Kluyveromyces lactis: one gene and its partners. The main gene of each other region encodes a partner of the protein of the gene in region 4 in a complex. Links are inferred from orthologs where the notes say so. Each region holds a gene or a part of one and is shown on either strand. Other genes may lie near its edges.

Region 1 (6,377 bases), on a different chromosome or scaffold from region 4:
ACAAGCAACATGGAGGAAGACGCGTGGTAACCCTTTTATCAGCTGCAGTTTCTTCCATTCTGCAGAAACTCTTGACTTCTAATTTTGTCGCTCCTCTAAGGTGGTATGCAATACCTATGTTGGAGTCGTACTCTGCATCCTCATCATGCGGGTGCTTTTGTAAAGATTGTTGAGCCATCCATCTGTTCTAGTTCAGGTTTACCACACAATTTCTTTTTTACACTTTACGTACTAGCGGAAAATTTTAATATGTTAACCAGCTCATCTCATCATAAGCAAAGCATCAGCACAACAATCTTAGCAGTTAACGGCAGGTCTACAAGCAACACGGACTAGCAGCATGCCACCAAAGGAAACAACAAAGAAGTGGAAACCTCCAAAGGGTCCAAAGCCTATTCAAAGGAAGAATAAAAACACTATTGGGTTAGGTAAGGCAATTCAAACTGCAAGACGTAAGGAAAATGAAGTGCAGTATTTGCCAGATGGTGAAGAACGTTTCACTACCGATAAGCACGAAGCTAATTGGGTAAAATTGAGATCTGTTACTCAGGAATCTGCATTAGATGAATTTTTGAGTACTGCTGAGTTAGCAGACAAGGATTTCACAGCGGACAGACATTCTAATGTCAAGATCATCAGAATGGATAACGGTGCCGATGCAGCCACATCCCAGGGATTTAGTTTGACCAATGAGCAGAAAAGTAAGATCAACGAGAAGCAGAGATTACATGCTAGAGAGTTGATTGTCCCAAGAAGGCCTAAGTGGAATGAATCTATGACCAGATTTGAATTAGAAAGGTTAGAAAAGGAAGCATTCTTGGAATGGAGACGTAAATTAGCCTATTTGCAAGAAGACAACGAGGATTTGTTATTGACTCCATTCGAGAGAAACATTGAAGTTTGGAGGCAGTTGTGGAGAGTTGTTGAGCGATGTGATCTAGTAGTCCAAATCGTGGATGCCAGAGATCCATTATTATTCAGATCCACAGATTTAGAGAAATATGTGAAAGAAGTGGATGACAGGAAACAGAATTTACTTTTGATCAACAAAGCGGATTTATTAACAAGAAAGCAACGTATTATTTGGGCCAAGTACCTTCTCTCGAGGGGCATCTCTTTTACATTCTTTTCTGCTGCCAAGGCTAATGAAATATTAGAGAGACAAGAGGAACTAGGGGATGAATACGTTGAAGAAGAGGACGATGAGGAAATACTGGCTACAGAGGAAGAAATTGAAGAACTTGATGGGGAAGAAGTGAACAAAGAAATTCTGGATAAAATTAACATACTGAAGATCGATCAACTTGAAGAATTGTTCTTAGATAAAGCGCCAAACGATCCGCTACTTCCTCCATTGCCCGGTCAAGAGCCAATCATACAAATAGGTCTAGTGGGTTATCCAAACGTTGGTAAGTCTTCCACTATAAATGCCTTGGTGGGTGCCAAGAAAGTTTCTGTCTCTTCTACCCCTGGTAAGACCAAACATTTCCAAACTATCAAGTTATCTGATAAGGTAACGTTATGCGACTGTCCAGGTCTAGTTTTCCCTAATTTTGCATACAATAAAGGTGAATTGGTGTGTAACGGTGTTCTACCGATCGATCAGTTACGTGACTATATTGGGCCATCGACATTAGTGGCAGAAAGGGTCCCTAAATACTTTTTGGAAGCCATTTACGGTATCCATATTCAGACCAAATCCGTAGAAGAGGGTGGGAATGGTGAAGTACCAACTGCACAAGAATTACTCGTTGCTTATGCCAGAGCTCGTGGTTATATGACACAAGGTTTTGGTGCCGCAGATGAATCTCGTGCCTCTCGTTACATTCTCAAAGATTATGTGAACGGTAAACTCCTGTACATTAATCCACCGCCTCACATGGACGATGATACGCCATATACCAGAGAAGAATGTAAGGAATTCAACAAAGATTTATACACGTTCAGTAAATTACCTATCAACAGACAAGAGCAACTTGCAGAAGCTGCCAAACACAAAGGTATACAAGATTTGGATCTTGCTCGCGATTTAAGTCGATTAACGTTCTCTGCTCATATTGGTGGTGATGGTGATAAAGTACAAGCTAAATCTGTCAACCATGGTGGTAAACAAGCAGCCTTGTACAACGTAGCTGATGAACTTGACAAAAATTTCTTCCATTTGAACGGTGTTCAAGGCAGACTTACGAACCCTTTCCATAAGCAAACCGTCGCCAACGAAAATGGTAAGAAGCATAACAAGAAGAACAAGAAGAGTAAGAAAAAGGCTTCCATGTTTTCCGATTAATGTAAGTACTATCTAAATTCATCCTAAACTCTTATATATATATAAATCCACTGTTTGCACAGTCTATTATCCCCATTCATTATGGAAATGTAACTGCATATCCTTTATATCTTCCTTAGCTGCCCTGCTTCCGGTTATAAGACCTATGGTTAGCATGCAACTTGTCACTGCATTACCCGGTGTTTACTGAAAAATTTGATGAACCAAAAGAAAAGGATACAAAACTTGGTTAAAGTTGGTTTACTTTATACTTGACCTCAGTACATGGTCCAGTTGATAAGTATTCTTGTCATTTGTGGTTATCTTTTTGGTTCCTAGCTCAGCAAACAAGGGCTCTTAAACACATTTCGGCATGTTCAATTATGGTTCGCGTTGTGGTTATCATGGCGCAGACTTATTCCACGCATGTAGAAGTAAGCTCAAGATGCCCAGAGCTGGGATACTCCCATTTAACGCCCTTTTCGCTAACAACAACTGAATTCCTACAGTTTGTAGTTTGATAGTAGGTGGGCGGAAATATTACCCATTTAATTGGTTCAGTAGTTTCCTCTGAAATATTATGAGAGTCGTATGAATTTGTATATCAATAAGATTTAGCAATAGTTAACCAAGTTCAGCCTTATGTTATACTTACCATCGGTAGATACATTAAGTAGCACTCGGTCCACTCTTTCTTACATGCGCTTTTGTAAGGGTTGGCAAGGGTCATGCTTCAGAGTGAATGACTTTCATTCAGACAGCTCTGTTATTTCTTTGATTGAGGTTTGGGATAATATTTTAGTGACATAAAACAAAATGTAATATAGCCTTTAAAATAATACTTAGTACAATTCCAATCACAAATAAAAAGGGATAGCGCCTCGTTAAAGGACATTAACTGACGGAATATGACGACAGATTTAGACACATTAAGTGATCAACTACGCAAAAATTATTACAGGGACCTTTCGCTCTTTCAAGATGACGAAGACCCTTTTTACCATTATCTTATATCTACAAAACTGGCCACAAACTTAAATACCGTGAGAAAACTGGCTATAAAGGATAACTTGGATGATCCGTCTTCTGATGCTATTGATAGATACCAGAAAAACTTTAGCAGACTAGAGGAATCGGTTAGCTCTATCAGTTTCTCCAAAGCTTCTAAGTTGCAACAGAAATATGATGCATATCAGGAATCTCAAAAGAAAAGGCGATATAGTGTTGATTTCGATGCAACGCCCGACGTGCCTATAGGAGATGAGGACGATGTTGATATAATATCCAATGTTGAAGCAATTAATGACAACGATTCTTTGAAGGAGCTCCGCCAAAGGCTTATGGGTAAAAGAAGGGACAGCGCTGATACGGAGGGTGAATCATTTGACAAACAAATGCAAATTCAGGATGATCTTCAGAAGGAACTGGTTGAAGACATGTCCCAGCTAGTTTCAGGCTTAAGACAAGGTGCGGAAGCTTTCCAGAATGCTATCGAACACGACTCTACTGTTCTTAAGGCAGCAGAAATCGGATTGCATGTTACTTCTAAGAGCCTTTCTTCACTCGGATCCAGATTGAAAAAGTATCACAATGAAAAAATTGGATTTTTAATGAAGTTAGGACTTTTATCGTTTATTATAATTGGTCTATTGGTCACCTATCTTGTAATAAAAGTATTTCCAGATTTATGAGTGTCTTCCGCTAAAATCTCCAAGATTTAGATAAAGGCTCTGCTTCACTCAAAAGCTTCAAAGTACAAAATAGACTCATGAATATTCGATGAAATTAATTGATACCGTTTCCACTTATCGAATAGATTGATTCTATTGATTGTCTTATCTATAATTGCATATTATACACTTGTTTAAAATTGACAGGCACTTATATTGTTATAGGACTATTGACTACAGAACATCAAACATTAAATCAGCTTTATTACCAACATCACTGACAAATTCTCTACTATCACCGGCTAATAATTCTCTTCTGATTTCAGGTCCAATTTCTTTGTGACCTCTTTGACGAACAGTTTCAAGTAGGAAATCTCTTTGATCTTGGGTAATATCATTCTTATAACGTTGAGCAAACGCTAAGAAAGCTTTATGCCATACCACAGGTAAGACTCTGACGGCATCTTGGCCTGTACTTCCATCAGTGACTTCTCTGAATCTCATGAAGTAGAAGACACATTCGTCAACAGTTTGATAAGGCAAAGCATACTTCTTCTCGAGTAGAATTTTGATGAAAACGGTGGTGGCTGGGGAAAAAGGTAATCTTAAAAGGTAGGACAATGCTGCAGCAGAATGAAGAGCTGGCACAGAGACCTTGGATAACACACTTGCAGCAATGGTAGCTTCTCTAACATTACAACCGGATTCCACAAGTGGGAATAAGAACCCTTTGAAAAAGGCAGCCGGTTTATACAATGATTTCTTTAATGCACGGTAGACATGGTAATTTAAGTTGTGATCTTCGTTAAATTCAATTTCTTCTCTGAAGCGTGGTAACAACACAGCTATAACGAATTTTTGGGCCTCTTTAGATGATAAGTTAGAAACAAAAAGTTTAGTACCTTCGTATATAGCATGCGGAGACCATTCCTCTGGATTAGTAACATAGAGAACATCTTGCCAGTTATTTAGAGAAGGCAAAACTTTGAATAGTTTGGGTAGTTTACCATGTCTCCAGGTCTGCATAATGGTACCAACGGCAAGGTATGCTTGAATCACCTTGGGTGGTAAGGCGACACCTTCTGTACGATCTACAGGTGCAGCTGGTTCCGCTACTGCAGAGGCATCACCTGCTTCTTCTTCATTATACTGTAGTTCCATCTCTTTTTCTCTAATAGAAGCCATAATCTTATCGGCAAGGTTATATGATCCATTGGCAGAGTTGAAATCAGCAGAAGTCTTGAAATATTGGTCAAACATTTCAGCATCTTCTTCGTCAATTTCTACCACTTCTTCCTCCTCGTATCCTTCGAAATCGTCTTCATCTTCCGGTTCAAAGTCAGATATGTTATTACCTTGAGCTTCCTCTTCCTCAGCTACATCATCTTCATCCGCATAGTTGGCCACACAGAATCTGTTTATTCCTTGGCTGGATGTCTGCAGAGACTGCTCGTCCTCTTCCTCTAATTCTTCCTGCTGTTCCCTAGCTAATTGCAAAATTTTTCTAGATTGCTGGGCATCGACAAATTCTTCATCTTCATGGCCTTTTTGATCCTTAGCATCGATCTTTTTCTTACCTTGTCTTTTCAACTTACCATGTTGAGAGTCAAGATCGTTCAATAAAGGATCGTGTCTCTGTTTACGACCGCTGCCACCCATTACTTTACCCATTTTCTCCGTAGAACAAATAAATCTTGTATCACTAGTCGTATTCTGAGCACTAAAGCAGACACTAATGAGTAATTTTGTGATTGTTATCTGCCATTTACCTCATCTCATCTCATCTCATCTCATCTCATCGCTTCTCATCTCATCGTTACTTATTCAAATCCCAAAAATTTTCAGTCAATGCACGGACAGAAAAAGAAAGGCTAGAGATACTCTGTTTAGAGAAGTCAAAGGTTCAATTAAATAACTCTGGAGCATTGGCAGCGGGATCGTCGTGATTGAAACAGATATGCCACAGCGTTGAACACAAATTCAAGCTACTGTAAACAGCCAAGAGCTATGTTCTTCTAATGATTACAGGCAAAGAATGTTGTTTGTTTTGCACGTGACTTTAAAATCTGGAAAGATTTTTCAACTGCAGCTTAGATTCGTTTTACGTATATATAATTAACAATGGATCAAGTGTAATGTGATCTCATATGCGTGGTGACACATTGCTGGTCTCTTGTTCACTCAAGCTTCTCCCTTGAGTTGTACTTATCGATTGATCAAAAACCAAGTGTTCATTTCCGTTTTTTTCGTTCCTTGCAATCTTAGCAAAGTTACAATTAACATTAGACTAGGCCCTTCCAATTAATCTTTTAATTGACCACCAGTTACTGAAGAAATCATGTCTAAAAGATCTTCTAGTGTAGCGAACACTCCAGTTAAAAGGAAGCATTTACACTCTACTTTGAATCATAAGTTTGTTAGCATCAATTCTCAAGATGATT
Region 2 (5,837 bases), on a different chromosome or scaffold from region 4:
TACGAAAGGTATACTCATTAAGAACAGCGAGTAATGACATCGCCATCGTTGATAATGAAAGTAATAATATACCGAGAAATAGCCTGTTTGACCCGTTAGAATATTGAAAGCTTTCCAAAAAGTTATGCCACGACGTAATTTCAGTAGACCTGAAAACAGAGGTAATTATGGCCCCAAAAGTCATCATGAGTGCTGCTATAATTTGAGCAAAAGGATATCTCTTTTTGAGAATTATTGAACTGAAAATCATGGTGTTTACGGTGCTCAAACATTTGATGACAATGTGTAATGGAATTGAAATGTTGTACATGAAAACGTTATTATTAAGAACAGATCCAATGAAAAAGAGCAACGCTGACGTTGAATGGATAAAGAACGGTATCTTGCAGGGTTTTATTGAGACTTTCCTCCCTTTTAAGCTGACAAACTTCGGCAGTTCAATTAGGATAACGAATATAAACTGTGTAAAAGTGACCACATTTCCCAACCGATCTTTATTATCTAGTAAAAGTTCTTCTAAACTCAATACATTGGAACAGCACCCACCAAACAACGATAAAATAGCCAATATTTCTATCATTACTAAAGAAATGAAATTATGAGATCAATTGGTCAACGTAAGGGTATTCAACACATGGAATGGTTTCTATATATATAGTAACTCTCTCAATCGACAATAGGAAAAAAAGGACTAGCAATCAATTGACCTTTAAATGAATCCAATAGAGTTAATCTCATCAATCCAATTGAATTCAGTAACCATGAATACCCCTAGACTACACATCCGGAACGATTTCAAATCAACTTAAACAATCTTTCTTTCATGATGACATGTATTGTAAAGAGGTTGCCTGAATTTTATATGAAAAAACGTTTAAGAACCATAAATGCGAACCTTAAAATAGACACGCATTAAACCAACGTATTAAGGGCACGTTTGTCAGAGAAAGAACAGCGAGAAAGGCTCAGTTGAACTAAACTATTAGTGTACTCAGGAACCATTATTTATTGGCTAAAATTTTTATACTTGTACTGACCCAGTGCCATCAATAACTTTAAGGTTCTTTGAAGGTTGAGATTCCAACTGCTATAAGATGAGTTTCCTATTCTATGGAGATTCGAAGCACCTGAGGAAGCGAGAGAGCTTCCACTTTGCGACAATTGAAAAGAGTGATTATTCTAAACAGTTGCAATCATTGCCTTTGCTTCCCTCTTCCTCTTCATTGAGACAAGATCATATATTCTCCAATGTGGCCAAGGAAGTAAATCAAATCAGTGACGATGTTGCCATAATTTATTCGAGACTTCAGGAAGAAATCGATACAGAACAATCGCAGACGAAAGAAGTAAATAACAAGATCAACCACTCGGTAAAAAAACTAGAGTCTAGCTTTTCTAAGTTAGTAAAACTACGATCAAAATTCACTAAGGATTCGGATAAACAGTTAAAACAGTTCGAAAGCAAATATTCTGACATTGATAAGAAGGTACGAATAATCAGAGATGTGAATGAAGAATTATTAGACTACGTAACTAGAAACGGTAGTATAAAAGTTGATGCGACGCAATTCAGCAAAATTTCAAAGCTGTTGCAAGAAAGGTTCCCAGAGAGTAGTAACACGACAGAAACCGAAGCGAATAAGGACAATAGTGGGCAGTCACAGAACGAAGCTAATTCCGAGAGTTTGAACAGCTCTTATTCGAGGCAAAGTACAAATGGAAGCCAAAATAATGCTAAAAAAGATTATCATAGTACCAAAGGAAATTCAGCGGACTCAAACACCACCAAATCGTACCGTCAGTCGATATCCTCGGCGCCATTAGCACTGTCATCAATCCGGAGTACATCAAGGCCATCAATCGCTACAACTCTTGAGCATATATGTATCACAGAACCGTTCACTAGACCTCGAGGCATGAGCAAATCGGCTGACTTATGAAAAGTTTCATGTCAAATTTACCCATTATTGATCTGTTCCACTTTTTACTTCACCGTTCAGTACATTATCTAATATCTTTGAGAAAATGACATACAATCCAGAATCCTTGTAGAGATCAACTAAGCTCTCTTTGAACCCAGTCTGTTTCTCAATCAACTCGACAAACGTCGGATCAATTGGAATATTCCCCAGGTACGGAACGTTATATTCGCTGGCTAATTTGAAACCGCCTCCTCTAGAGAAGATATCTGTACATTCAGCACAATGAGGACATATAAATCCGGACATATTCTCGATGACACCGAGTATATTGAAGTTGACTTTCTTACAGAAATTGATTTCCTTTCTCACGTCTGCCGTAGCGACACCTTGAGGCGTGGTAACAATAATAGCACCATCAGGTGCAGCCCACCTCAACTCTTCTGCGATAGATATATGTTCATCCGAAGTTCCGGGCGGTGTATCGATAATCAAATAGTCCAAATCTCCCCAATCCACATCTTTTATAAATTGTTTAATCATAGCACTTTTCTTAGGACCACGCCATACCACACTATTACCTCTATCATCCAAAAGAAAACCCAAGGACATGAGTTTCAATTCCCCTCCTGATGTCGTAGGAACACTAACGGGTATCCAACCCTTAGAAGCCTGATAAACCTGTTTATTTTCTAAACCAAACATTCTAGGCAACGACGGTCCAGTTAGATCAATGTCTAAAACACCCACTTTGTATCCCTTTAAACATAAAGTTAATGCTGTCTGTGTGGTGACAGATGACTTACCAACACCACCTTTACCAGAAAGGACCAATATAATGTGCTTGATGTCCTTTAAGGACTCAGGCATACCCAATAATTCGGTTTCAGCTGACATCGAGATACAATTGATTATGATCCTGGGACACTAAACGTACCAGCCACTGCAGATATGACTGTATATGCTCACAGTGGACAGAATACTTATAAAAGGGTATACTGCAAATACTTTTCTCAGCCGTTTAAACAGTAGGTTGACTAATACATTTAACTCTTAGCTTAACTAGGATTTCATGATGATAATGATACCTTTGTCAGAGCGAAGGGGAAACCTTCGAGGACAATATCACGTGATTAAACTTCAACAAAAAGTTTTCGTTAAGCGAATCGATTTGGTAGTAGCTTACAGATGGACTAGGAAGTTCCAAGGTGAAACTGCACTTAATTCCCTATGGTTAGATCTGAGTATCTTGACAAATCTACACTTTGTATTTTATTGTTGAGGCACTAGAAATAATTAAGGTATGAGTTCAAACTATAGTGGAATGCAAGGTGATTTGACACAGCGAGATGCGAGTAGGACGCAATTGTTTGCGGGTACTGACTTCTCTAAGTATAAACAACAACAGGATAGACCAAGTTCGCCGTTTGATAGACCATCCCCAGGGGTAGATTATTCTCAAGCAACACTTTCGCAGCTCGAGTCTCAAAGTGATGAACAAATGAATACCATGAGTGAAAAGATCAACGCACTAAAGAATTTATCTCTACGAATGGGAGATGAGATTCGTGGTAGCAATCAGACCTTAGATCAGTTAGGAAACGTTTTTGAACAGACTAGCAACCGTTTGAAAAGGACTTTCAAGAGAATGATGGTGATGGCTCAGAATTCTCGCATTCCATTAAAAATATGGTTCATAATATTTGGTGTTCTGACACTTTTGTTCTTCTACGTCTGGATACGTTGAGAGAGCGAGAGCGAAATAAAAAACCACAAAAGGGTCATGTACTGAAGAGTATCCCATCGAGCATGTATATCTAATTCGTATTGGTTAAACGCATTCCTTCACGCATTATATGTACCATTAAAAAGATATATTAATAAATCGTAACTATCAGTATTAGGTTGAAATATAAGATTATTTATAGGAAGAATTCCTGTTCCTCAATCCATGAGCTTAGCTTCCTTCCCGAGGATACCATGAGTATCCCGTTTTGCAGCGTAACGTCTTTTCAGTTTATAATGATGAATGGTTCTGGGTATTTTCCATAACGCCAAGAATGTCACCACAACAAATAAGTAATTGATTCCGCTAAATTCGCGGAGGTAGTCAATTAATCTGAGCAATCCACTGAGTGGAGTTCTCAAAAAGATGCGTTCAATACGAAGATCAGGGTGTCTTGCGGGGAAATTCAGAATGGAGAGGACTTCGGGCAACGTCTCTAGGGTGATGTATTGTCCAGAAGCATCCTTTTCGTAATAGATGGCTTTTTGCTTGTCCACGACAATGATATCACCAGTCTTGAACTTCCTGAAGTAAACATTTAGACCTTTATTATTCAAGAGAGAAGGGGATTCATTAATGTCCAAATAGGCAAATATGACCTTGTGATTATAACTGTAATTTATCTCTTTTCTCATGGCAGTGACTATATCAACGGATGGTGCGTTTTTGTTCTTAAGCTTTTGCACCAGTTTTTTCTTTTCTTCTCTGGCCGTCTTAAGACCTTCGTACACCGCCTCGTTACGCAATATTTCATAACTATGTGCCGCTACTCGTAGGCCTTCGACGATTTTCTTTGAACCTTCTTCAAACTTATTATTCTTCTTATTAACCAATTGAATTACCAACTTGTCATAGAAATCTTGTTCAAATCCTTTTAATGCTTCAAAGTTTTTGGATGTAATCTCAGTGACAGTTGGAAGAGAGTTTATAGTGAGCCAATCCAAGATGAAGTCCAAATTTCTGGTTTCAGTTGTTGAATATCCAGGGAATATGATCGGAGTAAACGTAGATTTCTTGAATATGAAGAACGTTGGTGATTGGGTAATGGATGTCGTGATAAAATGGTCCTCATTAATTTCAGTGCGTTGATCGGTATTATAATCTTTGTACAGAGTTTGATAGAGAGTATGGCTTAACTTCTTTAGGTCGTCAGTGTTCTTGTACAAGTAAATATTAGGGATGTATCCCAATGGGTCAATGAGTTGTTCCAAAAATTGCATATCCTCAGGGACAACAGTTTCCGGGTTATAATTAAATACAAGCAATATTTTATCGGCTTCGGCATTTGCTTCCAAAATGTCACTTTTTGGTTCTTTTACAAAAGCTTCGATCTCATCCTGATCAATATTTGGAACGTTACTGTTGTGTAAAGTTCTTGTAGCAAAATCAATCAAGGATTCGCTATCGACACGCTTTGGACCAAATGGGAACTTAATAAAACTACCACTCTTGCGGTTAGGTAAGATCAATGCAAATTCCGGGGCTCTTTCTAACCTAGAGTTTCTCTTCTGAGTCAAAGTATCGAAGGACAACTCCCTACAAATGGCTTCATTCTTTGAAGAATCTGTCGGATTCACACAGTTGAAATGTACCGTATTGATTCCTATCGAGTCAGCCTTGTTACTTACCAACTTCCAAATCCGTTGAAAAAGCGAACAGTCTTCACAGTTTTTGAACTGATAAGAAGATTCGATATCTTCAAAATCAGAGGTTGGCCAAAATGAGACAAAGTATGGTTCAGTTTGAGGTTCTGATAAAATCTTCAAGAGCTCACCATCATTCAACAGTTTACTCTTGCTCGATAGTTTAGTGATATCCAGATTGTCTGCATCCAGAGCTTCCTTTCTTGCAAAATTTAGCAAAGTTGTTTCAGTCCGTTCCAAACCTCTGGGAAATGCCTTGATAAAGCCTTCTGGTCCATATAATCTGATGGTAGGGTATGAATTAATACCCTCTTTCATACATAAGTCTCCTGACTCGATACAATCCACTTGATGGAGAGATATGTTGAGCTGCAAGGATTCATCGTAAAAGCCATTGTACGTCTTTTCCCAAATTGGGGCTAGCTGCTTACAATGATGGCAATATGGACTGAAAAATTCGATGATGTGTAGATTCTTTGCTATGGTCTC
Region 3 (5,742 bases), on a different chromosome or scaffold from region 4:
GTTATATCTTGCGGTATTGGGAGAAAAAGGGTTAGATAACGAATTTTGACTGAATAAAAGTTCATTGAACCCTATTAAGTTTTTAAAATATGAGTTCGCATCCGAAGGTTAAAAAGGCCATCGAACGGGCTACAGATCCCGGATTAAGGGTTGACAATTGGGGATACCTCATTGAAGTTTGTGATTTGGTAAAGGTTGATGCGGAAGACCGGGGTCAATATGCTATGAAGATAATTGAAGAACGGTTATTGAAACAAGATGCCAATATGATTCTTCGGACCTTGTCGTTGGTAGTTGCACTAGCTGAAAACTGTGGAAGCCGGTTACAGCAAGCAATTAGCAGTAAGCATTTTACTGGCATTTTATACAAAATAGTGGATGATTCTCAGGTTCATGTAGCGGTGAAGAGAGAGGTGTTGAAAGTCGTTCATCAGTTAGCAGATTCGTTCAAGAACGATCCTTCGTTGAAGTATATGCATGATCTAGAGAGCAAAATCAAGATATCACATCCGGAGTTGATCTCAGAGCCTCGAGTACCTAAGAAGAAAGAAATGAGTAAAGATAGAGAGGTTGAAGAGGAAAAAGAGCTCGCAGAGGCACTAAGATTGTCCTTACTTGAATTTGAAAAGACGGGTAGCAGGCAACAAGTACAACAGCCTCAACAGCAGCAGCAGCAGCAACAGCAGCAGCAACAGCAGCAACAACAGAAACTGTACCCTCAGAATGCCGAAGCTCAACAACAACAAGCGCCAACTGTTATACGTAAGGTAAGGGCAATGTACGATTTCAATTCTACAGAACAGGATGAATTATCTTTCAAGAAAGGGGATCTGATTTGTGTGGTTGAGCAGGTGTACAGGGATTGGTGGAGAGGAACGCTTGCTGGGAGCGTTGGAATCTTCCCGCTCAATTATGTAACTCCAGTTACAGAACCTTCTCAACAAGAATTGGCAGCAGAAAGAGCAAAGGACGAACAGGTTTTCGCTCAAAAGGACAATGTTGACAGGCTACAGAATAAGTTGAGAGAAGCTGGAAACGCAGATATCACGCAAGACCAAGAGATAAATGATTTGTACGGATCAGTTTCACCAATTCGCCCACAGATATCAAAGATGCTTGGTAAGTACGCTCAGAAGAAAGAAGATCTCGTATCATTACGTCAAATTTTGGCTAATGCTGAAATCACATACAACCAGTTGCTAAGTCGAGCATCTAATGCTTATGCTTATTCTGCGCCTCCGCCCGCGCCTATGACGGGACCTGCACCAACTCCAGGCCCACAAAGTCCAATGTCACCAACTGCTCAATACACAAGTCCTACAAATACACAAACGCAAATGAATGGCATACCAAATCCGCCATATTCATATCCATTACCTCAACAAACTCAACAAATTCAACAGTCTGAACAAACTCAGCAGCCCTTGAGTCAAATAAACTCACCTCAAAATTATGCGAGCTCAGTCGGTAACACCAATTATACTGGTACGAACCATATCCCACAGCCATTGGCACCATATCCTCAGTACACCGGTATGTCAATGCAGTCTATACCTCCGCAGCAACCTCAAATGCCTCAACATTATAACATGAGCTCTAACAGTAATGCTCAGTAGTGGATCTGTTCTGTTTCATGCTTAATCTGCACTTCTATATAAAAATACTATCCTATGATAAGCTTATTTCTTTGCACATACGTCAAGAGAGCATGTTTATTTAGTTGTAAGAGTATTTAAATCTCAATATATTGCCAAAACACATGGCCTTACGCGCCTTCCATGTCATTAATCAACTGCAGCTCTTCCCTAGTACAAGTCATGGATAGCCTAGGTTCCTTCAAATTTAAGGTCCCTTTTTCTTTCAAAAAATAAATGAGACGAATAACGATATCGTAAAGAACTCTTAAGTTAAAATTTACTACAGTTATAGGCAAAAATCTACCAGTGAAGAAGTGGATTTAGAGACAATTAACCTGTCATTTTAAGGTAAATTGTGGTGAACATCAATTCACACTGTGAAAATCATATTATGTCTGAATTTGAGAAGATTGTGAGAGATATTGTATTCGATTCCCCTCCAGAGGAAATCTCTTTGGTTTACGATAATCTACAAGTGTTAAGCGATGGTCAAAGCAAGCAACAGATTGCTTCAATTATCCAAGAATTCAATGAGAAGCACAGAGTGCCAGCTGCTAAGGGTGAAGAGAGATATCTTGTGTCTGAATACAATAAATCTGGAAGTAAATATTTCGATCCAGTAAACAAGGTTTTATTTGCCGTAGACCATATTACCCGCGAAGCTAGTGATATTGAGGAATATACCAGTGAAGATGCCACTCAGGTACAATCAGACCTTTACGATGAATTGTCTAAATACGTTTCAAACTTCTTCCCTGATACAGCTGTGTTCAACGTGTTTAAGATTCCAGAGAGCGACCAATATGCCATAATCGTTGTCAGTAACAAGAAAAGTTTAGGTGATTTCTGGACTGGTTACTGGTTATCAGAATATGTGTATGATGTCGATGGGGATACGATCTCTGGCGAAGTCTCCGTCGATGCTCATTACTTCGAAGACGGTAACGTTCGTTTCAAATCAACTGCTTCCTTGGAATCAGCACAGACGGATTCACCAATAGTAAGCATCAAGCAGTTTGAGAACGAGTTTGAAAAGAATCTCATCAATAAGTTCCAGTACATGAATGAAACACAGTTCAAGGGATTGAGAAGAAGATTACCCGTGACTAGAGCCAAGATCAACTGGGGACAAGGGATCGGTAATTACAGATTGGGAAGAGATGCTGCTCAAGGTGCATGAAAGGATGATGCTATGACATTACATTACCTGAATGTATACATATGTGTATATACAACGAATATCTTCTGCTTATTCAAACTTCTTCCTATAAAGAAGAGTACTTGCGGTCAGTAAGCAAAAGGTTCTTAAAATACCTTATATATCGTGTACAATATGAAGAAACACAATAATGATACACCCACCATACGCCATATATTATTACCGGCATTCATAGATCTCTGGAGCCTTGTAGATGAGTTCTTGACATTAAGGAAAAGTTGACCGAATGAGTTCTGTATATTGTCGATAAGGGAGCTGTCATTTGCGGCTTGATTTCCAATATCTTGGTTGATATTTCTGAATGTAGATAGTTTATTGGCCAATTCGTCTAACCTTTGATTATTCTAAAGAAAATGTTTGAGCGTTACGTTAGTAAATTTCGATCTTAAAGTGGCACTTGCATACCGTACAGTCGGTAAGGATACTGCGCCTGTAGGTTCAAGCCTATTCTGCCATCAAACGTCTTTTTGGTAGAACATACATCATTTTCCACCTGTGAGTACTTGGAATCCGACATGGTGAGAGTTCACTTTATGCAAGAGTGGCTCTATATCGCGTTCTAGTTGCTAAATGTGAACGTTTCGCTATAATATAAACTCTGAGGTGCACTTTGATCCTGCCTTTTAAGGTACAGACAGTGTTTCAATTCTATCGCTCATAATAATGGGAATTGAATCTTCAAAACACGTTAGAAATGATATTTCATTTCAGTCAGCGAAGCATAGCGAAAGGTACAAGAAAGCTACGGTGAATACAAATACTATACATGACGCTGTTAACGGTACAAAGCGAAAACCATAATTATCGAAATCAGAGTAGATCTTGGTGTTTGTTAGTTTTATAATTTTCATATGAAATCAACGTTAGGCAACTGTTTTCATCTCGTAAAGATAGTTATGGTTCGCTTTATCCTCCATACCTGAGAAATATGTGGTATATATAAGTATGATCACAATTGGAACATGACTAGGTGCAGAAGTACACGATAATTATCTCCTCACCTCTGCTGAGGTGAAAGAAAGAGAAGAATTAGTTATAATGAATGTGTTGTAATGAAAGGATTCTTTTCTATAATAGTCAGACCGAAAGTTATTCGCATACCACAAGACTCCCATAATGGAACTAGGCATGTCCCGAGATGACTTGCCCTCGATCGCAAATTATAAAACATCATTCAAAAGAAAAGAAGCGAACCCCAAAACCACGAAACATTATGATAAGAATTCTTCTCAAATCCATACTTCCTGCTGCTAAATCTCAATCATCACTAAAACTAGGTATAGTAATAGCAGTGGCTACTGCTCATGCTGTTACTATTATTATTAAAGTGACGAACAAGCTTCATACTTGAAACACAATCCTAATATTAACTGTCTAACAATACCACCGTTTAATCGTGTGAATACAAACAGCATACCTCATCTCATACGCTCTCTTTATATATAATTCAATCAGCATGCGGACATTGATAACAATTTTCGTGGGACTGCCCTTTTATACACCTGTACATCTCATTATATTTCAATAATGTCCTTTAAACACCCAACCATTACATATTTTGTTGCGCCTGTGTTAGGATGAAAATGAATTCGTCCTGTAATATAATACCTAAATTGGAATAGGTATGTATTTTAAACCCGTAGCCCACATACATTGTTACCCACGCAACTTTTTCATCAATAAGCACTCCAAGGTACTCTGCGTCCTGGATTCTGACAATAGCGAATTCCAGCTTCACCGGATAGACACGCACAGACACACAGGGCTGCGTTGGAAGTTTGAGTTTGGAACCAAGGTTTAACAAAATTGTTTGACTACTTTATCTGTTACACTATTTGAAGGTATACTATAATAACGGTTTAATACTTACTATTACGTTATATTAGATTAGGTTTGGTCTTGATTTACAGAACGGAAGAAGAACCAAGTGAAAGATGTCCACTGATTCTGTTGTTAAAGCTTCTAACTGGAGATTGGTCGAAGTTGGCCGTGTTGTTTTGGTTAAACAAGGCCAATCCGCCGGCAAGTTGGCCACTATTGTTGAAATCATTGACCAAAAGAGAGTATGTTTTACAGATTATAATGAAACGGAGATTCCCTGTACAGTACCATCTTTCCATTTGAAATAAGAACAGATATCGATCACACTGCGATCTGGTATTCTTATGCTTTATTTGGGAAAGTTGCATAGATGTATAGGATCGAACCGAAGAATAATATGAGGAAGAGGAAAGAATGATTCATGATAAACTGTTTCCCGAGTTAAAGAAAGTATACTTTGAGAAATGAATGAAAAACTATTGTACTGAACAGACATCGAGAGAGAGGTTTAGACTACGTTTGTTTTCCCTCCTTCTGGTAAGGTTAGGAATGTGTCGTTAATACTCGATGGCTCTCGTACTTGGTATGAACATGACAGTCCTTTTCCTAGTTATTTTTTTGTTTCTATCCATAAACTCGTATCGAACAATTTTTACTAACAAAATATCCATGACATTAACTTGTCTAATTTTAATTTCCTTCCAGGCTTTGATTGATGGTCCAACCACTGGTGTCCCAAGACAAGCTATCAACTTAGGTCAAGTCGTTTTGACTCCATTGACCTTTGCTGTTCCAAGAGGTGCTAAGTCTGCTACTGTTTCAAAGAAGTGGGCTGCTGCTGGTGTCTCTGAAAAATGGGCTACTTCTTCCTGGGCTAAGAAGATCGCTCAAAGAGAAAGACGTGCTGCTTTGTCTGACTTCGAAAGATTCCAAGTTTTGGTTTTGAAGAAGCAAAAGAGATACGCTGTTAAGAAGGCTGTTGCCAAGGCTTAAACTTTTTAAACTTTAATCGGTTTATTATGAAGCTTTGCCAATTCCTTTCATTAGCAACAATTACAAATTCAA
Region 4 (6,499 bases):
AACCAATTGTTGACCACAGTACGGGAGAGCCAGGGTTTAGAATCAGGTATTCATGATAACCCTCTTAAACCGATTTTGAGAGGCTCGAATGGTATAAGCCCGAGATCTGCGAAGAAAGTGGAGTTTACTGGTGCAAATACCACAACGAAACCAGTTGGGTTTGAGGATCCAATTGCGGAAGATAACCATGAAAATAGCGGGAATAGTCTCGAGCTGAATGATGATGAGGTACGACCTCTGAGAAAGAGGAGGCGTAAGAGTTCACGGAGAGAGTCGTTGTTCATTCCTGCAGATTTCGAGTTTAACGATGAGGACCCGGAACTAGAACTGAATCAACTGCCGATAACTGAGGATGAACCGCCGCCTAGTACTGCAGCCACCTCAGTACCTGAGGAAGAGTCTCAGGAGAACAAGCATACAAAAGAAGAGCGTGAAGACGAGGGAAAAGAGAATGTCTCTACGATACCTTTGGTACCGGTCCTTCCATCTGTTACTAACACAGGCACTGAATGTAGCAATACCAATAAAAATAATACTACAGAAATGGAAACTGCACTTGCCGAAGATGATTCTTACAATTTCACTACATCAGTCATTGAATATTCCATTCCAGAGGAAACTTCAACTCACGAGCATTCACATATCCTACTGGAAACGTCGAAATCGAAAATTGATGTATACAACGACAGAGAAGAGACAAACAACAATGAGGCTGATGACTCAATGAATATCGTCCAGTGCACAATCCCATCACAATCGAAAATTAAACATTCCATGAAACATCCTAGGACGAAACTGAAAGGTGGCCAAGATGATATTATGCCCCACACAGATTACGATAAAGATGATGAAAAACGAGAAAGAAGGACTAGAGGCAAAGCTGTCAACTATAAACTCCCATCACTACGTGCTAAGATGCGTAGACCCACTGAAAAATTGGTGGATGCCACAACTGTCACCGATATTCATGATTTACAAGTGAAACGTAGAAATAACCAACAACAGGGAATACCGTCTGATGACGATGATCAGGAAGAACTCTTAGTGCCTGCTGGCGTACCTGACACAAATGTCGTCATTGCAACAGTGGAAGAAGAGAACAGAAAGGAACCACCGGCTTTACCATTACATGAGATTCACCTTGCACAAAACGTTAAACCTAAAATCGCTCTGAAAGAATTATCAGCTAACGCTATCAACAGAAAAGTTAAAACATCTACTGCCGTAAAAGCAATAAGCCACACTAAATCGCGAGTGCTTAAAGATGTCAAGTTCAACACATTGCCCACAAAGCAACAAGCTATTGAAAACAACTCGTCCGATCCAAATGTATCTGATGAAAATGAAAATAGCAACGTGAAACCGACAAGAACTAAACAGGCTACTTCAGATCTAGCAGCATTTGAAATTATAGATGGAATTTCTCTGAAACATGTATCCAGGACACATCGTGTCAGAGCAAAAGAAGACATGAACAAAAAACGTAAAAGAATTCATAATGACGAAATAAGCATATGATAGAACTACCTCAGCATTCAACCCGTCCCATACCAACATTCGATACCAGCATATGGCACATATCATATGAATCTTTTTTTTTTTCCGGTATTTGAGCATGATATAGATAATATTAAGTACATACATTAGATAGACAAATGATACCAATTATCCATGATCCTCAAACGCTCATCTTCATTTGAATCTTCCCATGAGGGTTATAGTCAGTTATTTCGAAGTCTTCGTATTTGAAATCGTCGATATCACTGACATTTCTCTTTATCTTCAATTTTGGGAAAGCTCTTGGCTCTCTGGCAATTTGTGTCCTTAATGCATCAACATGATCTTTATAAACATGCGCATCACCCAAAGTGTGAATAAATTCACCAGGTTCCATATCACAGACCATAGCAATCATCTTCGTCAGTAGCGCATACGACGCGATGTTAAAGGGTACTCCTAGACCCATATCACATGATCTCTGATAAAGTACACATGACAATCTTGGTTTGGCACCTTCTCCCTTGGGGAAACTGACGTAAAATTGCGAGAAAACATGGCATGGCGGTAAAGCCATCTTGGGGAAATCCGGAGGGTTCCATGCAGAAAGAATTATTCTTCTGTCGTATGGATTTGTCTTCAACTTATGAATAATCTCCTTCAACTGATCAACACCTTGACCACTATAATCATCATCACATGTCTTATATTCGGCCCCAAAATGTCTCCATTGGAACCCGTAAACTGGTCCTAAATCCCCCTCTCTTCTGTCAGTCAACCCAAGTGAGTCCAGGTACTCACGAGAACCGTTACCTTCCCATATCTTAACGCCTTGTTCTGATAATTTCTTCCCGTCTGTACATCCAGCAACAAACCATAAGAGCTCCAAAATAATACCTTTCGTAAACACTCTCTTCGTAGTGAGAAGCGGGAAAGTATCATTGCTCAAATTAAACCGTAACTGTGGAGGCGCAAAAAGGGAATAAGTCCCTGTACCAGTTCTATCTGGTCTGAATTCTCCCTCATTGATAATCCTTTCACATAAATCCAAATACTGCTGTTCTTCCGCGTTAACAGCCTCAAGCTTAACTCTCTTCACGTTTTCATCGCTCAGCGTCATGGTTGACAAATGTTGGTTGTTTAATGATCCGATAAAACGCCAAAGGAGTCGAAGGATGGTTGAAGTAAGATAGAGTTTAAACTAGAGATGGCCTTTAACTCTTAAAAGCCGTAGTCTGATTCTTAACGCGTTTTCGTGTTGTGGGAATTTTTCAATGGCCGGGTAATGATGGTGAAACAATGTCACGTGCTACCTAAATTCTTAATTCCATCCTCGATGAAGCTTTGGTCTGGCAAACGAATGCGAATCAAATTTAACCAAAGGTTACTTTGGTTAAGGAGGTACCGTTCTACTGGTAATTATACTGTCTATTAACTGTCCAATTAGAGGCAACTATCGTGTGTGTTTACCCTATCTAATCTGGGACTATAAGCGTTCCTTGTTCAAGCTTTTCTATGTTGAGTAAGTGTCAAAAAGAATATATACAAAGAAAGTGACTACCTTAATATGAGTAATAGAACTGAGCTCTTCAAAAAGTACATGCAAGTGATTGCAGAGACTCAGGGAATTGATGATGCTAGGAACGAATTGAATAATACGAAAGCGAGAGAGGATAGAGAAAAGGTGAAGGAAAAGTTTAGTGTAAAGGATACTTTTGTAAAAGAAAGTAAGCAGTTGATGAAACATATTATGGAATTCCAGATAGTGATAAGGCAATTGACTCCCAGGTACGAAAGTGCTACTGACATGACTGATCAGGAGAAAGATGATTTTGATACAGAGAGCAAACTTCAATTACAGCAATATTTCGAGAAATATAAGCAATTGGAATCGTATGAAAGACAGAGACAAGAAATGATGAAAGAAAAGTTAGAGAAATGGTCCGCAACCGTACCATTTTTCTCTAGATCAATTGACGATGTATCCAGTTTCCACAAGGTGAATAATCAATTTCGTATGGGTATATTACAGTCATTGAATATGTGGCTCATGAAGATTTCAGATAGGTTGTCAACCATTCAGCAGACACGATTATCCAGACAAAGACATATCGAAGCCATTGATTTCAATGCTCAATTACACTTACCTGAAGAAATTTCTGTATCACAGTCTCCTATGATAACGACAACTGTTGAAGAAATCAAACAGTACGAGGAAACGATGTCCAAACTCTCTTCAGAACAATTACAAATCTTGGCCACAGAGCATGAAGAACTTCTTAATTTGAAGAACGAAGAATTACAAAAAGCAGAGGCACTACGGAGAACCGCAGTAGATATTGCATCGCTACAGAGTGAATTGGCTACACATTTGCAGGTTCAAACACAAAATATTAATACATTGCTCGATAATCAGACTGACGTGGAGATGGAAATGGAAAAAGGTAACAGACAGTTGAAACAGGCCAACAGGAAAGGAGATAGGCTCGCTAACATGGTCATGTGGTTTGCTATAATTTGTGGACTGCTATTGTTATTCTTCGATTACATAAATTAAGGTTAATTCGTTTCTCTCTGTTGCAATTGCTTACTACACGGTGATACGTAATGGTGTATATATGTACGGTAAGTTTTTAATAATCTAAAGATTTGATCAACGCAGCTCCGATTGTTCTTCCCTCCTTTCTTAGAACCACCCTTCCTAACTTCTTATTTTGCTCGAATGTTAGCATTGGGATTCTTCTTTTTTTCTCCACCAGCTCGATCTCAACTATGGCAGCTTGTTGAGAACCCAAATGCTTCACTTTCTTTTTTAAAACCTTAGATGGATTACTTTTATCGACAGTACAACACAATTTTTTGATTCTACAAGGTTGTTCTGTAGCACCTCTAAAGAGCATGAGCGAGGTACCAGGTAATAACGGTCTATCCAGCCTGAAAGTCAAGAGTCTTGAGGTAAATTCTTGGGAGCTTGGGATATCAAATCCAACGATAGATGCCAAATCACCACCTTGAATATCTTCAGGGAAGGCGTTATGCAACTTCAATTGGACAAAGTCTCCATGTAATGCAATATCCACTTTTTGAGAGTCATTGCCGCATAATATTGAATCAACAACGCAACTCTGCTCAGATGGATATATTGTGATAGTTTCGCCCGGTTGAATAGTACCTGATTCTACTTTACCAGATATAATGGCGGATGTATTTTTGGAAGTTGGAGTGACATCCAAAATGTTGAAGAGGAAAGGCTCTTTGGTAACACTTTCATCAACACATGCTAGCTTCAAAGCAACATTTTCAAGTTCCCCAACGAGACTTGGTCCCTGATACCAAGTTTGAGATGGCGGATATGGGGTTTTGAAGATACCCTCACCACTTAACCCGCTGCATGGAACCCAGCTTACATCGTTACCTTTGAAACCGATTTCTTCGAAGAAAACAGCCAATTCTGATCTAATGTCGTTAAATCTACCTTCGTACCACGATACAGAGTCCATTTTATTCATGGCAACAACGATATGTTTAATTCCGAGACTTCTGGCTAGCAATGCGTGTTCTTTAGTCTGACCATCAAGGTTAAAACCTGATTCAAATGCATCGGTTCCACAGTCTACTGAAAGAACAGCGACATCAGCCTGTGAAATCCCAACAATTGCATTTGGAACAAAATCTCTATGACCAGGAGCATCAACAATGGTGAACGAACTTTTAGTAGTGGCAAAATCACTAGTACAAATGTCAACGGTAACACCCCTATTTCTTTCCTCTGAAGTTTGATCCATGACCCAAGCAAGATGGAATGAGGACTTGCCAATCATTTCACTTTCCTTTTGCAACTTACGAATCAATTTTGTATCAACAGCACCAACGTCGTATAGTAGACGTCCCATCAATGTGGATTTTCCTGCATCAACGTGACCTAGAACTACAAAATTCAAATGAGGTTTCTTGTTGTCGAGGTAGGAAGAAATATTGATTGCATTTTTAGGTTTTGTAGGAACACTCACCTTCTTGTAAGTCTTCACAACAGGCTCTTCAAAAGGTAACTTCTCATCATCATCGTCATCGTCATTGATATCCTCTTCTTTTTCAACAGTTTTTGAACTTTGTTTATCTTGTATAGATAAATCAGCGACCTTTTCTTTAATTTTATCCACCTCGAATGCTGCCTTTTGTTGGTTTATTACGACATCATCCGGAGATGGCTTGCTAAAGTTAGCAATTGCTTGTTTTTTAACTACTCTATTGTTAGTATTTGGATAATAGACTGAAAACAGTTCTTCGTGTTTCCTTTTCGTGGTTGTTGAATTAAACTCTAGTTTCTCCAAGATGCCAGAATATAACGGTACCTTGTTGATTGCCAGAATTTCGTTTATATTACTGACATATGCTGAATCTTTCAATTGGTTAAGTATGACCCATGGGTCATCCTTATCTTTCTTTTCATGATCTATCTTATTTTCTTCGATGACCACCTCTACGTTCGTTTCTTCCGCTTCGGGTTTCTCTATAATCTGTCCCTCAGGTTTACTTTTCCTGAGTGATGCCAATTTTGATGCCAATGTGTGAGTTTTCGGTTGTGAAAAGGATGCAGTTGCAGCGCCGTTACTGTTATTGTCAGTAGTAATGGGTCCCCTTTTAAGTGATTGCAATCGACTAGCTACGGATACAGTTGTTTTTACAGGATTACCATTTTGTCCATTACCACCTCCGTTCTTGAGTTTGTCCAGAAGAGAAACCTTAGTTGTTGCAGGTGCCATTGTTGAAGCCTTATTCCTTGCTTCTGCACGTTTCCTAGCCAGTAATTCTAAGGCCGATAGTTTCTTTTCCACTTTCTGTTCTGCAAACAAACAAATAAATGATACTTAGTTAGTCATATAGCTCATTAGAGATGCAATACAATACACGCTGTTCAATCAAGTCAATTGTTTTTTCTTCTGCTGCCCGTCCGAAACACAAATAAGCACCACGTTCACGACCATCATGATCAATCGACATG

The links.
Region 1: UFE1 (region 4) and USE1 share a complex: the UniProt entries of both Saccharomyces cerevisiae proteins name them as parts of the SNARE complex. The link is inferred for Kluyveromyces lactis from reciprocal best matches to the Saccharomyces cerevisiae genes UFE1 and USE1.
Region 2: UFE1 (region 4) and BET1 share a complex: the UniProt entries of both Saccharomyces cerevisiae proteins name them as parts of the SNARE complex. The link is inferred for Kluyveromyces lactis from reciprocal best matches to the Saccharomyces cerevisiae genes UFE1 and BET1.
Region 3: UFE1 (region 4) and SFT1 share a complex: the UniProt entries of both Saccharomyces cerevisiae proteins name them as parts of the SNARE complex. The link is inferred for Kluyveromyces lactis from reciprocal best matches to the Saccharomyces cerevisiae genes UFE1 and SFT1.

The regions. Positions count from the first base shown.
Region 1 is NC_006042.1:637,841-644,217, reverse strand, and holds USE1 (SNAP receptor USE1), read left to right. Parts: upstream 1-3,174; coding exon 3,175-3,957; downstream 3,958-6,377. Other genes in the region: RRT2 (diphthamide synthase), read right to left, coding at 1-178; ribosome biogenesis GTPase LSG1, read left to right, coding at 341-2,287; snoRNA-binding rRNA-processing protein ENP1, read right to left, coding at 4,171-5,607; SRM1 (Ran guanyl-nucleotide exchange factor), read left to right, coding at 6,275-6,377. UniProt on the Saccharomyces cerevisiae protein: SNARE required for targeting and fusion of Golgi-derived retrograde transport vesicles with the ER.
Region 2 is NC_006040.1:1,197,107-1,202,943, forward strand, and holds BET1 (Bet1p), read left to right. Parts: upstream 1-3,222; coding exon 3,223-3,666; downstream 3,667-5,837. Other genes in the region: YEA4 (Yea4p), read right to left, coding at 1-580; VAB2 (Vab2p), read left to right, coding at 1,095-1,940; iron-sulfur cluster assembly protein CFD1, read right to left, coding at 1,965-2,816; protein disulfide isomerase EPS1, read right to left, coding at 3,864-5,837. UniProt on the Saccharomyces cerevisiae protein: SNARE required for targeting and fusion of ER-derived transport vesicles with the Golgi complex.
Region 3 is NC_006038.1:1,174,730-1,180,471, reverse strand, and holds SFT1 (Sft1p), read right to left. Parts: upstream 3,374-5,742; coding exon 3,338-3,373; intron 3,201-3,337; coding exon 2,943-3,200; downstream 1-2,942. Other genes in the region: ESCRT-0 subunit protein HSE1, read left to right, coding at 90-1,616; CAP1 (Cap1p), read left to right, coding at 2,029-2,817; RPL14A (60S ribosomal protein eL14), read left to right, coding at 4,791-4,919, 5,383-5,670. UniProt on the Saccharomyces cerevisiae protein: Vesicle SNARE required for retrograde transport within the Golgi complex.
Region 4 is NC_006037.1:694,744-701,242, reverse strand, and holds UFE1 (Ufe1p), read left to right. Parts: upstream 1-3,064; coding exon 3,065-4,054; downstream 4,055-6,499. Other genes in the region: SGO1 (Sgo1p), read left to right, coding at 1-1,518; CDC21 (thymidylate synthase), read right to left, coding at 1,679-2,617; ribosome dissociation factor GTPase HBS1, read right to left, coding at 4,131-6,364. UniProt on the Saccharomyces cerevisiae protein: Syntaxin required for targeting and fusion of Golgi-derived retrograde transport vesicles with the ER.